Coturnix japonica: one gene and its partners. The protein of the gene in region 2 interacts with the protein of the main gene of each other region in a pairwise test. Links are inferred from orthologs where the notes say so. Each region holds a gene or a part of one and is shown on either strand. Other genes may lie near its edges.

Evidence for each region.
Region 1: the proteins of UBASH3A (region 2) and SPRY2 interact in binary tests that used the Homo sapiens proteins (3 or more experiments, as listed by UniProt). The two-hybrid records come from large-scale screens. The link is inferred for Coturnix japonica from reciprocal best matches to the Homo sapiens genes UBASH3A and SPRY2.
Region 3: the proteins of UBASH3A (region 2) and FGFR1OP2 interact in binary tests that used the Homo sapiens proteins (3 or more experiments, as listed by UniProt). The link is inferred for Coturnix japonica from reciprocal best matches to the Homo sapiens genes UBASH3A and FGFR1OP2.

What each region holds. Positions count from the first base shown.
Region 1 is NC_029516.1:136,861,031-136,865,476, reverse strand, and holds the start of SPRY2 (protein sprouty homolog 2), read right to left. Parts: upstream 2,905-4,446; 5' UTR 2,152-2,904; intron 1,917-2,151; 5' UTR 1,841-1,916; intron 1,722-1,840; exon of another isoform or gene 1,626-1,721; intron 537-1,625; exon of another isoform or gene 1-536.
Region 2 is NC_029516.1:98,576,766-98,580,411, reverse strand, and holds part of UBASH3A (ubiquitin-associated and SH3 domain-containing protein A), read right to left. Parts: intron 2,594-3,646; coding exon 2,540-2,593; intron 1,966-2,539; coding exon 1,779-1,965; intron 691-1,778; coding exon 492-690; intron 1-491. UniProt on the Homo sapiens protein: Interferes with CBL-mediated down-regulation and degradation of receptor-type tyrosine kinases. Promotes accumulation of activated target receptors, such as T-cell receptors, EGFR and PDGFRB, on the cell surface.
Region 3 is NC_029516.1:62,493,913-62,497,558, reverse strand, and holds part of FGFR1OP2 (FGFR1 oncogene partner 2), read right to left. Parts: intron 2,381-3,646; coding exon 2,267-2,380; intron 1,974-2,266; coding exon 1,860-1,973; intron 1,105-1,859; coding exon 967-1,104; 3' UTR 1-966. UniProt on the Homo sapiens protein: May be involved in wound healing pathway.

The DNA of each region.
Region 1 (4,446 bases), about 38 Mb from region 2:
AAGCCAGGCTGCTCCCGACCTGCGGAGAGCTGGGGACGAGCGCGGTGCAAGAACCCCTCGGACGCCGGACGTCCCCCGGCGCGGCTACATCCGGCCGCGCAGCGGGAGCGCAGCAGGTGGGACGCGGAGCCCCGTGGCTTCAGGCGGCGGCCCCGCGAGTGCAGACAACCTGGAGATTAACAGGAGACATCCCCGGGCCGGGAGGTGGGAGGGGGCGGCCGCAGTCGCCTTATCAGGAAAGTCAAACCCATGTTTCCTTTTAACTCTTCCCCCCTGCCCTCCCCCGGGAGATGCTCAGGAAGCCTTTCCCGGCCGGGCAGTGAGCGGCGCCCCGCAGACGCTTGGAGACAGAACCTCCGGGACAGCCGGGCAGGAGGCAAATTGCCCCCCCTCGCCTTGCCCTGAGCGCTCATTCAGCCGCCAGAGAAGAGAACTGCCCGAACTTGAGCCTCCCGCCCCTGCCCAGGAGGCACTGTCAACCCGAGCCGGGCCATGTTTCCTTATTCCCCCTGACAGACCCTAACGGGACAGGATGTAAACCTCCAGCACCTTTATTTGCAGCCATGCCCGAAAGCTCTGAGAGAAAGCACGACTCTCCCTATGACCCAGCACCCTTCCAGCGCTTGGCCTTCCTGTGTGTGCATGTGGGCGATAACACCGTTCCCCACTTCCAGAAGCCAAAGTCCACTCTCGCACAGCTCAAGTGCCACGACCGCTGCCTACTCCTGGCTGGGATTGGCAGGAGGGCGAGCCGGGGGGGTGGGGGGGAGGCAACTTTCGTCTTCGCACGTCCGAGGAAGTGGCAAACTCAAGGGGCTTCTGCGTGCTGCGTGTGGAAAATCCCCGCATCGCGGAGGGGGCCTCGGGGGAAGAGGTCCCTGCCCGGGACTTACTGTGCTGTGTCCGGAGCCGCGCAGTACCCCCACCCCCACCGCCCCGCAAACACCCCCGTCACCGTCTCTGCTTTCACAGTGCTTTGAAACCCACATTAAGAGCAGAGTGTGCCATCAGACTCTGGATTAGGGCAAAAGCGACTTTACATCAAGGTTGGGCAAGCTGACATACAAGTAACATGCTGAGAACACCAGCAGATAAATATATATATCGGGGAGGGGGGTGGGGGGATGGGGGCCTGTTACACAGTAAACCCCCACAAAAAAAGTCCTTCTTCCCCTCCACACACACACTCTGCAAAGTAGAACCTGGGAGTGAAGTTTCCCCGTCTCATGAATCGAATTAAGTTTCACCGCACGAGAAATACGCACGCACCCGCAGCCGCACAGATGTATTTACACACCAGCCGTGCACTCACTTCCGAATGGCACGGATCTTCCCGACGCCACCACACACGGGCGTCAATCACGGCGCTCCCCCGGGCCGGGGGTACCGGCGGCCTCGCAGCGCCCTCCCTGCGCCTCCCCCGGGGCAGCACCGCCCGTGCCCGGCTCCCCGCAGCCGGGAATACGCGGCCCCCGCCTCCCCGCAGCCCCCCGGGCACGCGTGTACGTTCGCGCAGCCTTCCGCCCCCGCGCAGCCTCGCGCCCCCCGGAGCACCGCGACGAGGCGCAAATAAAGCGCAGCCCGCAAAACCCTCCCCGGAGAGAAAAAGAGCTCCGAAATCCCACCTCCGGCTCTTCTCTGGGAAAGGAAGGAGAGGGGAAAGGGGGAGAGGGAGAACCTGTGCGAGTGGAAAAAGGATCGGCCTCAAACATTTCCACGAGTTTTCTTGGAGCAGCGCTGAGGGAGGAGAGGGGGGGGGATACGAGGGGGAAAAGAGGGGGGGGGGGGGTTGCGGGGGTTACTGAAAAGCTTGTTTTGCAAAGAAGGAAAAGGCTCTCACCGTGATCGCGGCGCTGCACCAAACCCCTCTCTCTGTTGTATTTTCTTCTTCCTGCGGTTTGCAAATAAATCCAGCCCTAAAGCAAAAAAAAAAAAAAAAAAAAAAAAATTCTTTTCCAAACTCTGCTTTCGTCCAACTTGCAAATGAGAATCAGAACGATCGGCTTGCAAAAAAAAAAGTCCGGAGTAAAGTCAGTCCTCCCCTCTGCCCAGCTCGACTGTAAGAACGTGTGTGCGCCTATGTGCTATAGTAATAATCAGAACACCTCTCCGGATCTGGGTGGGTTTTCTGTTCTCCTCCAAAGAACTCACTTCTCACACACTTTCCTTTTTTTCTCCCTCAATGAACAGGAGGCCGAACCGCCAGCACCGAGTCACCTTTCTTTTTTTTTTTTTTCCCCTTTTTTTTTTTTTTTTTTTTCTTGCTGCCGTTGCAAAGGATCGAGAGGAAGGAGAAAGCCACAGAAAACAAAATCAAGTGGATCTAAAATCCGATGGCAAAGCTTTCTTCCAGCGAACTCATCCGAGGAAGCAACAGCAGCAGCAGCCGGGCGGGGGGGGGGGGGGCCGCGCTGCCGAACGCCGCTCGCCGCACGCTCCTCTCCCTCTCTCCCTCGGCTTTCTCGCTCCCTCTGCGAGCGTGTGTGTGTGTGTGTGTGTGTGTGTGAGTGTGTTGCAGGCGGCTCTGCGGTTTGCGAGCGGGGGGGTGGGGGGGGTGTTTGGGGAGCGCAGCGGATTTGTGGTGGTGGTTGTTGTTGTGTGTTTGGAGGAGGTGGAGGAGGAGGAAGGTTTGAGATCTGAGCTGGAGGGGCTCGGCGTTTTTCTGCTCGCTCTCTCTCTCCCTCTCTCTCTTTTTCTTTCCGGAGGAGGTAGGGTGATCTCTCTGCAAAAGCAGCAGTAAATGGCGTCATGTGGATCTGAGGAGGAACAGAGCAGTTGTTGTCCCAGAGGATATATCGCATCCGGTCCCAGCTCATTGGCTCTGCGGGGCTACATTCACTGGCGCTCCCAGCGCCCTGCCAGCACTCCGAGCTGCGGGAGGCATTCAAAAGGGCAGCGCTACCGCCGCTTCCACCACAATCGCGGCCCCGCTCCCGGCCCCGGCCCCGCTCCCGTCGGGCCCCGGCGCCGTGCGGAGCCCCGCGCCCCTCTCCGGGCCCGGCCGCAGCCTGTTCTCGCAGGAGGCAGCTCCGTGCGCGGTCACACGGCGCTCGGGGCTGCTTTTGTGCTCGCGTGTTTATCCAGGGGCCAGCAGCGATCGGGCTACAGGGCGGTCGAGGGGAGCTGCTTTCCCTGGGGGGAGCGGGAGACCCATTCCCAGGTGCTTCCCCTCCCCCAGCCATGTTTTCTTTTTTTTTCCCTTTCTTTTTATTTTCTTTCTTTCTGTTTTTTTTTTTGTTTTTTTTTTTTTTAATCCCCCTCTATGGAATAAAAAGTTTAAACTCTCTGCTCCCTACCCCCCCAGCCGGCAGCAGGAAGGGCCGCTTATTGCCCGCGGCATTGTGCCGCGGATTAACGCGAGGAGGCGGCACGGCGGCGCGGAGCGGGGCCCGCGGGGCAGCGCGGGGCGGGCGGCGGCAGGGGCACAGCGGGGTCTCCAAGAGCCCCCCGGGGGGTGTTTCTCAGCGTCGTTCATTTGTAATTTCGCTCGCTTTTATGAAACTTCCATTGTAATGGATTCCCACTCGTGTACGGGACGCGGCCCACGGGCAGCTGATAGAAATGGCTGTTTGTGAGAGAGGTTCCCTTGATATGGGAGCAGCCGGTCATCTCTGCACGGGCTGCAGTGCCGTCAGGCCTGGGCACCCCGCGCCGCCAGCGGGTCTTTAAAGCGCGCACAGCGGCGTATCCACGTCGGCATGCACAGAGCGCTCGTACACCCCTATCACGTGTGGCCCTGCTTAAAATATACCCGGCGTGCCGAGCAGCGATGTGGCGCGTTATTTACATGAGCAAATTCTCGGGGCGAAAGCCCTGAGAGCTCTTCTTAATGCTGGGAGGCAGTTGGCAGCGCTTCCTCTTCTCCACCTGCTGTCATCGCTGCTTGAGAGAGGGGTCACTGTTAATAAAAATGGGGTGGGAGGATGAGGAGGGGGCGGAGAAGGCTATGTAGTACTATGTACTAACATTATGAAGCTGAGAGTTATTTCTCATAGTTTCTCTATGGGACGACCACAGCTCTGCGTTCATCCCTTCATGCGGCCCTAGTAGATCCACGGGGTCACCAGTGATGAGTGGGATTTGCTGAGTATGAACCTGGGCATCCTCAGAACTGTGTGCTACGTTCAGGCTGCGCCGGGAAATCCATGGGATTCATCCGGGAGGGATGAGCGCGGGTTAGCATAGGAACGGGAGAAGAATGATGTTGATTTCACTTCACTGTGAAGCTTAGTAAAGGCAAAAATAGGTAATGGACAACATGTAGAAGCTTATGGACGAGGGAAAGCCTGCTTGATTTTTTTTCAGGATATAAACCAAGCACAGAAATAGTGTATAAATTAGAAAATCCACCATACTGTGTTTTACAGAGAAATCAGAAGTTTAAATGCCAGTTCTAAAGTACAGGTGTGAACACATAATGCAGTGAGCTGTCCCACCTACAGATAT
Region 2 (3,646 bases):
TATAAGAAAAGTAAAGGGAGGAAAACCAGATAATAACAAACCCAATGAAGCCAGTTCCACAGAAATGACTCTGTAAGAGCTCAAAATGGAATAACCCTCTGGTAATTTCAAAACCCATTATGAGCAGCACAGCATAAGTGCCCAGAAAACAAAGATCGCATATTGTTTTAAGGGATTGCTGCCTAAAAGATGTTGCCAGGTAAAACATTTGCCTGAATTTCCTAAAAAAAGAATAAATTTATGAAGACTGCTAGCATCTTTCTCTTTTCTTGTACATAGAGTTCAGCAAAAACCTCCTAGACAAAAGCAGCACATCTTCAGAATCTAAATCAAGCTCCTCTAGCCACATTGTTTTTGAATCTGTGGGAGGAAAATGTGCTTGTCAGCAGTAAAACATCTGCCACACAGCTGTGGAGACATGGGAGATGGTTTCCTTATCATGTCTATGCCTTTGCACAACAGCCCACTCAGCCCTCTTATGTTGATCCCACCTGCCAGGGCTGAAGCTTCTGAAGAGAAGGCCACAGCAAACTCTTTGAGGATATTTGCATCGCTGTCACCAACAAAGAAACCAAGGTAGCTGGTGGATGAGTGTAATGATAAGGAAACAGTTGGTGGAAATCTCTGTGCAAAGCTGTTGCAGATTCTCTTTAAGATGTCATACAGTAACTCCACTTTCTGGTCTTCACACTGTAAAAAAAAACAGAGGAAGGGCATCCTTTACACTGTAAGATCAGTACCCACTGTGGCTGCCTGTCTTGTAAAGTTACACCAGAAAACTGGATGGGCATTACTTCCTTAGAAAAATAACACACCTACAAACATGGCTGTGTGATGACACTACCTCAGGAGATGGGGTCTTTTACCATTAAGTGAAGGAAGAAAAAGCATGAGATTTTACCATCTGAAGTAAACTGAAACGAGGCAGAGTTCATGACTTCTCTCTTCAGTTCTAAGTAAGAATTTGTTATCCTACAGTCCTTTGCTCTGGTAAAAAATTAAGAGCTGAGCAACATACATAGGAAGGCTAATATGGATTCTTTGTAATTGGGATCTTTTGTCCCTTAGTTACAGCTTATTCAAGGATTGTACAAAGCCATGCTTCCACAAAAAGTGTCAGTTAAACAATTTAAGAAGTAAATAGAAGAAGACTAAATTTATGCCATAAAGCCAAAGTCACAGACATAAATGATGCTCCAGTTCCACACTGTGGCTTTTGTTTTTTCCTTAGCAGAGCTATTTGCTCCTCTCAGGCGCAGGAGATGCAGGGTGTCAGGAAACAGGAGAGTTTGGGTTGGGAGGTAGAGGTGGGAGCAGGGCAGTGAGTCTTACATCCTATATGGAAAGCATCCAAGTCATCTACTGCTGACAGCTGAGGAACATAGAATAGCACTGGAGGGTGTGCATTCATTCCTAGAAATATACTACCTGAAACAGAGCTGAGGTGTGTGAGGTGAGGTTTACAATTCAGGCATCTCTTCCAGGGTCAGGCCTTTAAACTCGACACTTCTCGAGAGCACAGCATTCGTTATTAATGTTTTTTGGTTTGCATAATTGTGATGAATGGCTACAGGTCACCACACTATTCTATATTTTGCAACAAAATGCTTGTATTTTCATTATGCTCAGCAGCATGATTACACATGATAGTATGATATACATGATAGTATGATATATTTTGTGCAGCTGCTCTATAGCAATGGTACCATAGCAATAGCCTGTTGGCTTGGAATTACCAGGCTGTCCAGTTCCACCAGTAATCACTTTTTGTTCCTTACCGTGAAGAAGTCACAGAGTGTGATGTGAGGGAAAATCTCATGGGCTCTGTTCTTCCCGCACTGGCGCTTGCTCTCCTTCCAGAACACTTGCAGGCAGTTATACAAGTGGCCAGTGGGGCACAAATAAAGAGCATACTCCTGGGGGATTGGGTCATCCAAAGAGGGATCGTTGCAGTGAGAATGCAACCTGAAAACAAAACACATCACACAGAGAAAGCATGTAAGCCACCTACTCTTCTTTTCTTGGCTTCCTTGGGTGTACACCATGAGGTACCATGAGACACAAGCATCATGATGAGACAGGGAGCACATGTACTGTGATGTAGCTTTGAATGCCTGTCTGGCTATGCCCCATGTATGCACACAATCACAACTCAGATACTATAGCCCTATTGCAGTGAATAACCCATAATTAAGAGGCTTAAAACTGGGGACAGATGTCTGCCCAGAGCTGTCAGTCCCCCAGTCCTGTGAGACATCACTGTGTTTAAAGTAGTTGCTTCTGCCCATGAGTCTCTTTGCTCCCTAACTCTTGATTTACCCCAGACCCTCTGCAAATAACCTTGCTTCCCAGAATTAGTGTAAATACAATTATTTCTTTCTCTGATGAACTAAAATGAAAAACAAACAAACAAACAAACCTCATATGCTACGTCTTCAAAAGCAGCTAACTTCATTCTGAGTAACAGAATCAGTATGTGAACAAGTGTTTTTAATCAGTTTTGATGTGAAAGCACTCCTCAGAAATCACAGGTGCTTACCATTTTGCAGCATCTTCTACTGACTTTTGACCAGTAGCAACCAAGGCTTTTTGCCTAGAAAAAAAAAACAAACAAAAAACAACCCACAAACCAAATGAAAACAAACTGGATTCATCAGAATAGCAGAAAACACTAAAATTGTTTTCGATGACTTTAATACAATAAAGAAAAATGGACATGCTGTGACAATGGATTCTATTTTTCAGCACAATGTATACCTGTAATAACCTAACCTATAATGACAAGGTTATTCCTGGCACATATTAATGTTCTTGAAGCCCTCCAGACAGTCTGCTCTGCTTCATGTCTTTAATTCCTTGCAGACTGGTAATCTGCTCTTTCCACGGAATATCCATAGAATGTGTTTTGGAGATGTTTGCTTACCACCCCTAGTGATTAAATGGGTTTCCTTAGGGTTGGTTTAGGTCTCCCTCCACATGCTGTAAGAACAGGATTTGCTCTATTGATAGTATAATTAATGAGAAGCTCAGATTCAGGTGCTAGATTCAAGTTGCCACACATACAACCTAAACAAAACATCTGGGGTTTGAAAATCTGGACCGAGGATTCCCCATAGCCCAGAAGAAAGCCAGACCCAAGCCACAAATGAATTCCAAGATAACATACAATATCTCCATTTTCTCCCTTTTATTCAACTGACGTTCTTTGGGATCAAATTTGGTTCATATTTCCTTTTCACAGAATCATAGGATCTCCGGAGTTGGAAGGGACACACAACAATCATGGAGTAAACTCCTGGCTTCACACAAGACCACCCAAAAATCAAATCCTGTGTCTGAGAGCATTGTGCAGACACTTCTTGAATTCCAGCTTCTTGGGTCTGTGACCACTGCCCAGAGCAGCCCATTCCATGCCCACCAACCTCTGGTGAAGAACCTTTTCCCAACCTCCAACCCTGTTTCAGTTCCCACAGGTTCTATCGCTGGTCACCAGAGAGGAGAATAGCTAGAGTTTTCAAAATGCCATTGACATCCTTTACGTGACAGAGTCTTTGTGAGCAAATACTGAGTTCTTGAAGGCTGAAGGGTTCACAGTGTTTCATCTCCAGCCCTGCAATCCACCTGTAAACTTCTCAAAAGTGACATG
Region 3 (3,646 bases), about 36 Mb from region 2:
CACTTCTGGTGTACAGGCAAACCGTGCAAGCTACTTCTTGTTCTAGAAGCGCTAATTCATTTTCACCTCTGCAGCTTTTTCACTAATAAAAGTGAGCAGTCTTGTCAGTGTGATGTATTGAGAGCTCCCAGTGAAAATACACAAAACTCCTTGACTAAATAGTACTTAAAGAAAGAAAATAATAGTTCCAGGTGCACAGTCTGCTAACTTTGCCATAGAATTTCTCACCTCTTTCTCCCAATTATCTTTCCCTCAGTACGGTCTGAGTGCTTTCAAATTGCTGTTTCTAGCTTTGGGCAGCCAATCCCCAAAGAAACAGATGAGACTACGGCAGCCTGCCACCCACAGAGAACTGAGCTTCATTTTCTCTCATAAGGTAAAAACAACTGCAAAAGTATTGCTTATGTTTGAGCAACTGGCCTTACATTGCAACAGGGCAGCCTGCGGCTAACAGGAGCCCGTCGGCTTTCTGCTGGCTCTTTCCATTAAAGAGGCTCGTTGCTAAATGCTGAATTTCACAAACCTTAGTAACTAAAAGGACAAATGAACTATGGAGCATGCACAAAGCGTAGTCAGTCGCTATCTTTTAGCCAGATATCAGACTACTTTAAATCTTGCATTTATTGTATAATAGGTGCACTGAAGTTTTGTCCGAGCAATAAATTATATAAATTAAGTGAAATTATGTATTTTATTTGTAAAATGACTTCATATAAAAATAATTCCCAATTCCATAAGTGCACTAACCCATTTCCTACTGAAGTTAGACCTATGGCAATTAATCTGTCACTACGGTATTCAGAGAGTACCGACTGGAGTTTATTTTACACGGTATAAAAGCCACTAAACCAAAGTTCAAGATGCATAAGCCTGCTGGTGCCCTATTCAGTAACAAGTGCTTGACAAGTGACCCCTGATATTCCGTTTGTAAAGTGTGCAATTAAAGCTGGTTGGCTTCCACAGTCTTCAGCTCTTCCTCAGGCTCAAATCACTGCTTGTTACTAACCCTGAAAGGGATGTACTCTCTGATGCATCTTCTTTCTTAAGGTTCAGGAATGATTCTCTGGTTATCTGAAGAATTTCTCTCAAGCCTTTGTTTTCTTGCTATAACCGAGGGATAAAAAAAGGCATTTAATAGAACTCCAGAAAGTCAGATAACTACATGAAGGATCTCTCCTTCCCTTTACTACAAACACACTTACAAAAGACATGCAACAAACTAGCAGTACCAGTGAATGATCCAGTAACTCAAGAAAGAGACAGTAACTCAGTAACTGTGATAAGGTTAACACCCTTGCTAAGGGCTGAGTTCTAGAAATAACTGAAGCACTGGGAACAACAGAACCAAAGGCATTTTACACACAACGAACTGTACCAGAAGGTAAGTGCACAAAGCGGCTTTTGTTTTACGTGCCGGATTACCACAGAGTTACAAACAGAAAGGATCCCTTTACTGAAGAGTTTACTGACTTTAAAAACTGTTGTTAGGGTTGGTAGCAGCATTGGAAATAATTAAACATTGCACCCAGTTCCTCACTCGATAATAACGTGTGACTTGGTTCCACAACGTCTTATAAAAAAGCAGCCAAATTGGTAGCGCACTGGGAAAACCTTTGTCAAAGGAAATGATTTAATACCGAGGGAGACTGGAAAACCAAGCAGGTGACTAAAGCAAAAGTCTAAATCAGCATCTCAGGATTTGTGGCAATTTCAGCAAATCTACTGCAAGAATACAGAACATGATTTGCTCCCGAGTTCTGGAAAGATGGCACCGCAGCAGAGACCAATCTCATGTCAGCTACAGCCCCCTCAGCTCCTTGATACAACATCAAACTAATTCTCCTAAGTAAACTAATTACCTGAAACAGTCCAGCTCCATGAAGATAGCACGCAGCTATCTTAATGCTGGCTTTGAGTACTGGCAGCAGATGCACGGGAAGCTGGCTATTCCTAAACCCTAAAGTACTGAAAGACTGTAAAAGAAAGGTAGAACTGTAGGGTCAGAACAAGATATTTTGTTTAGAGACGTGGAGCACAATTTAAAGCTTGTGTGAACGTATTTGGGTAGCGGTAACCTGCTCCCCCAACTCCCCAAATAAGTGGCAGAGAGTTTCCCTGTTCTGACAGCCAGACTCTGATCTGTGTGTAATCGCAACTTCTTGTCTCACAGTCAGTTCTGAGCATTTCTCACTGGGAGGGTAGAGGAAGACAGATCCCTATTTGTGCCATCACTGGCACAAATCTCAAAAAAAGATCTCATACTTACTTCAAGCTGAATGATACGTTCCTGCTCTTTACAGCCATGCTTGTCATCAATTTCAATGGCTTTCCTCATTACCGCTGCCATTTCTGTAATTTGGTCCACGTGCACTTGTAGTTCCTACACCATATAGATAAAACAGTACTTTTAGTAATAAGCTTTCTTCATTACTAAAAATAAAGTATTACATGTGCATTTAAACTGCCGTGTCATGCAATAAAAATGCAAACACAGACCTAAACAAAGAAGCGCTAACTCTACAGCATGAGCAGCCACTGCAGTTCTGTTCATTTAAATCAATCTGGTTTGCCACACGGTTCACTTTTAGGAGTTTTACAGAAGAAAACATGCCCAAATGACTGTGCCTTTGACAGCTTCCATGTCTCCCAGATGGCTGTTAGACAGCCACGTGTTTGCTCTGGCAAGAACTTCCTGTACTGCAGGAGCTGATGTATGCGTCCTTCTGGATGTGCAGAAAGGCCAACTTCATCTGAGCACAGCAGCATATTGGACCTGTTTGAAAGCTGGTCGCAAGTCTGGTACAGACAGTACTCGCCCGTGAGTGGGCATTTCTCTGTTAGAAAGAGCAGGCAAAGCTGTCATCCTGACTATGACATAAGTTGGAAAACTCTGAGTCCTTTTTGCGGTACCGCTGCTCAAATCCACTTCCCATTTCAGCTTATCTGGGATCTGGTCTCTAGAGGTCCTTGTCCTTGTTGAACTCTAGAAACACCCTCGTGTCCTGCCTGACCTCCACTAATTAATACCAATAGGGTACTTCCCTATTATAAATAATTACTGCATCTCACTGAAATATTCATGGAGGAGAAAAAAACAACAAGTGCAGTAGTTGTCTTTGCTCATCTTGTTCCACTGCCAGGAAAGTGATGATAGGAGACATTAACACAGGCCTAACAGCCTTTGCAGGGAAGTTAGATTTTGAATAATCTCCCCTGTTTGCAAATAAGTGATATCTTACTTGGCCCTTGTTGGCTTGGGTGATGTTTTACTTTCTCACTGGCCAGCATATCAGCAAGAAGCACTTATAGAGCCTCTGCTTATTTCTCTTGAAAAATGTAGATGAAGAGCCTAAGTGATTTGGCATTCACTGCTGTAGAGTTAAGCCAAATACTTTAATGTATTTACAGACGCTTTTAATTTGTCCAGTCTTTCAACCTGTTTCTTATTCCAAATCCACTAACAGACCTGCCTCTCCATGCCTGGCCTGACCTTTGGGCAAAATTCACAACATTTATTAAATATTACTAGAAAAAGAACAGTAGGACTGAAATCTGCTATGTACAGTGAGGAACAGCACAGATTAAAGTTAAATACCATCTTTAAATGACAAACTTGATTAGAAGTCCACACATCTAGCAGATCATC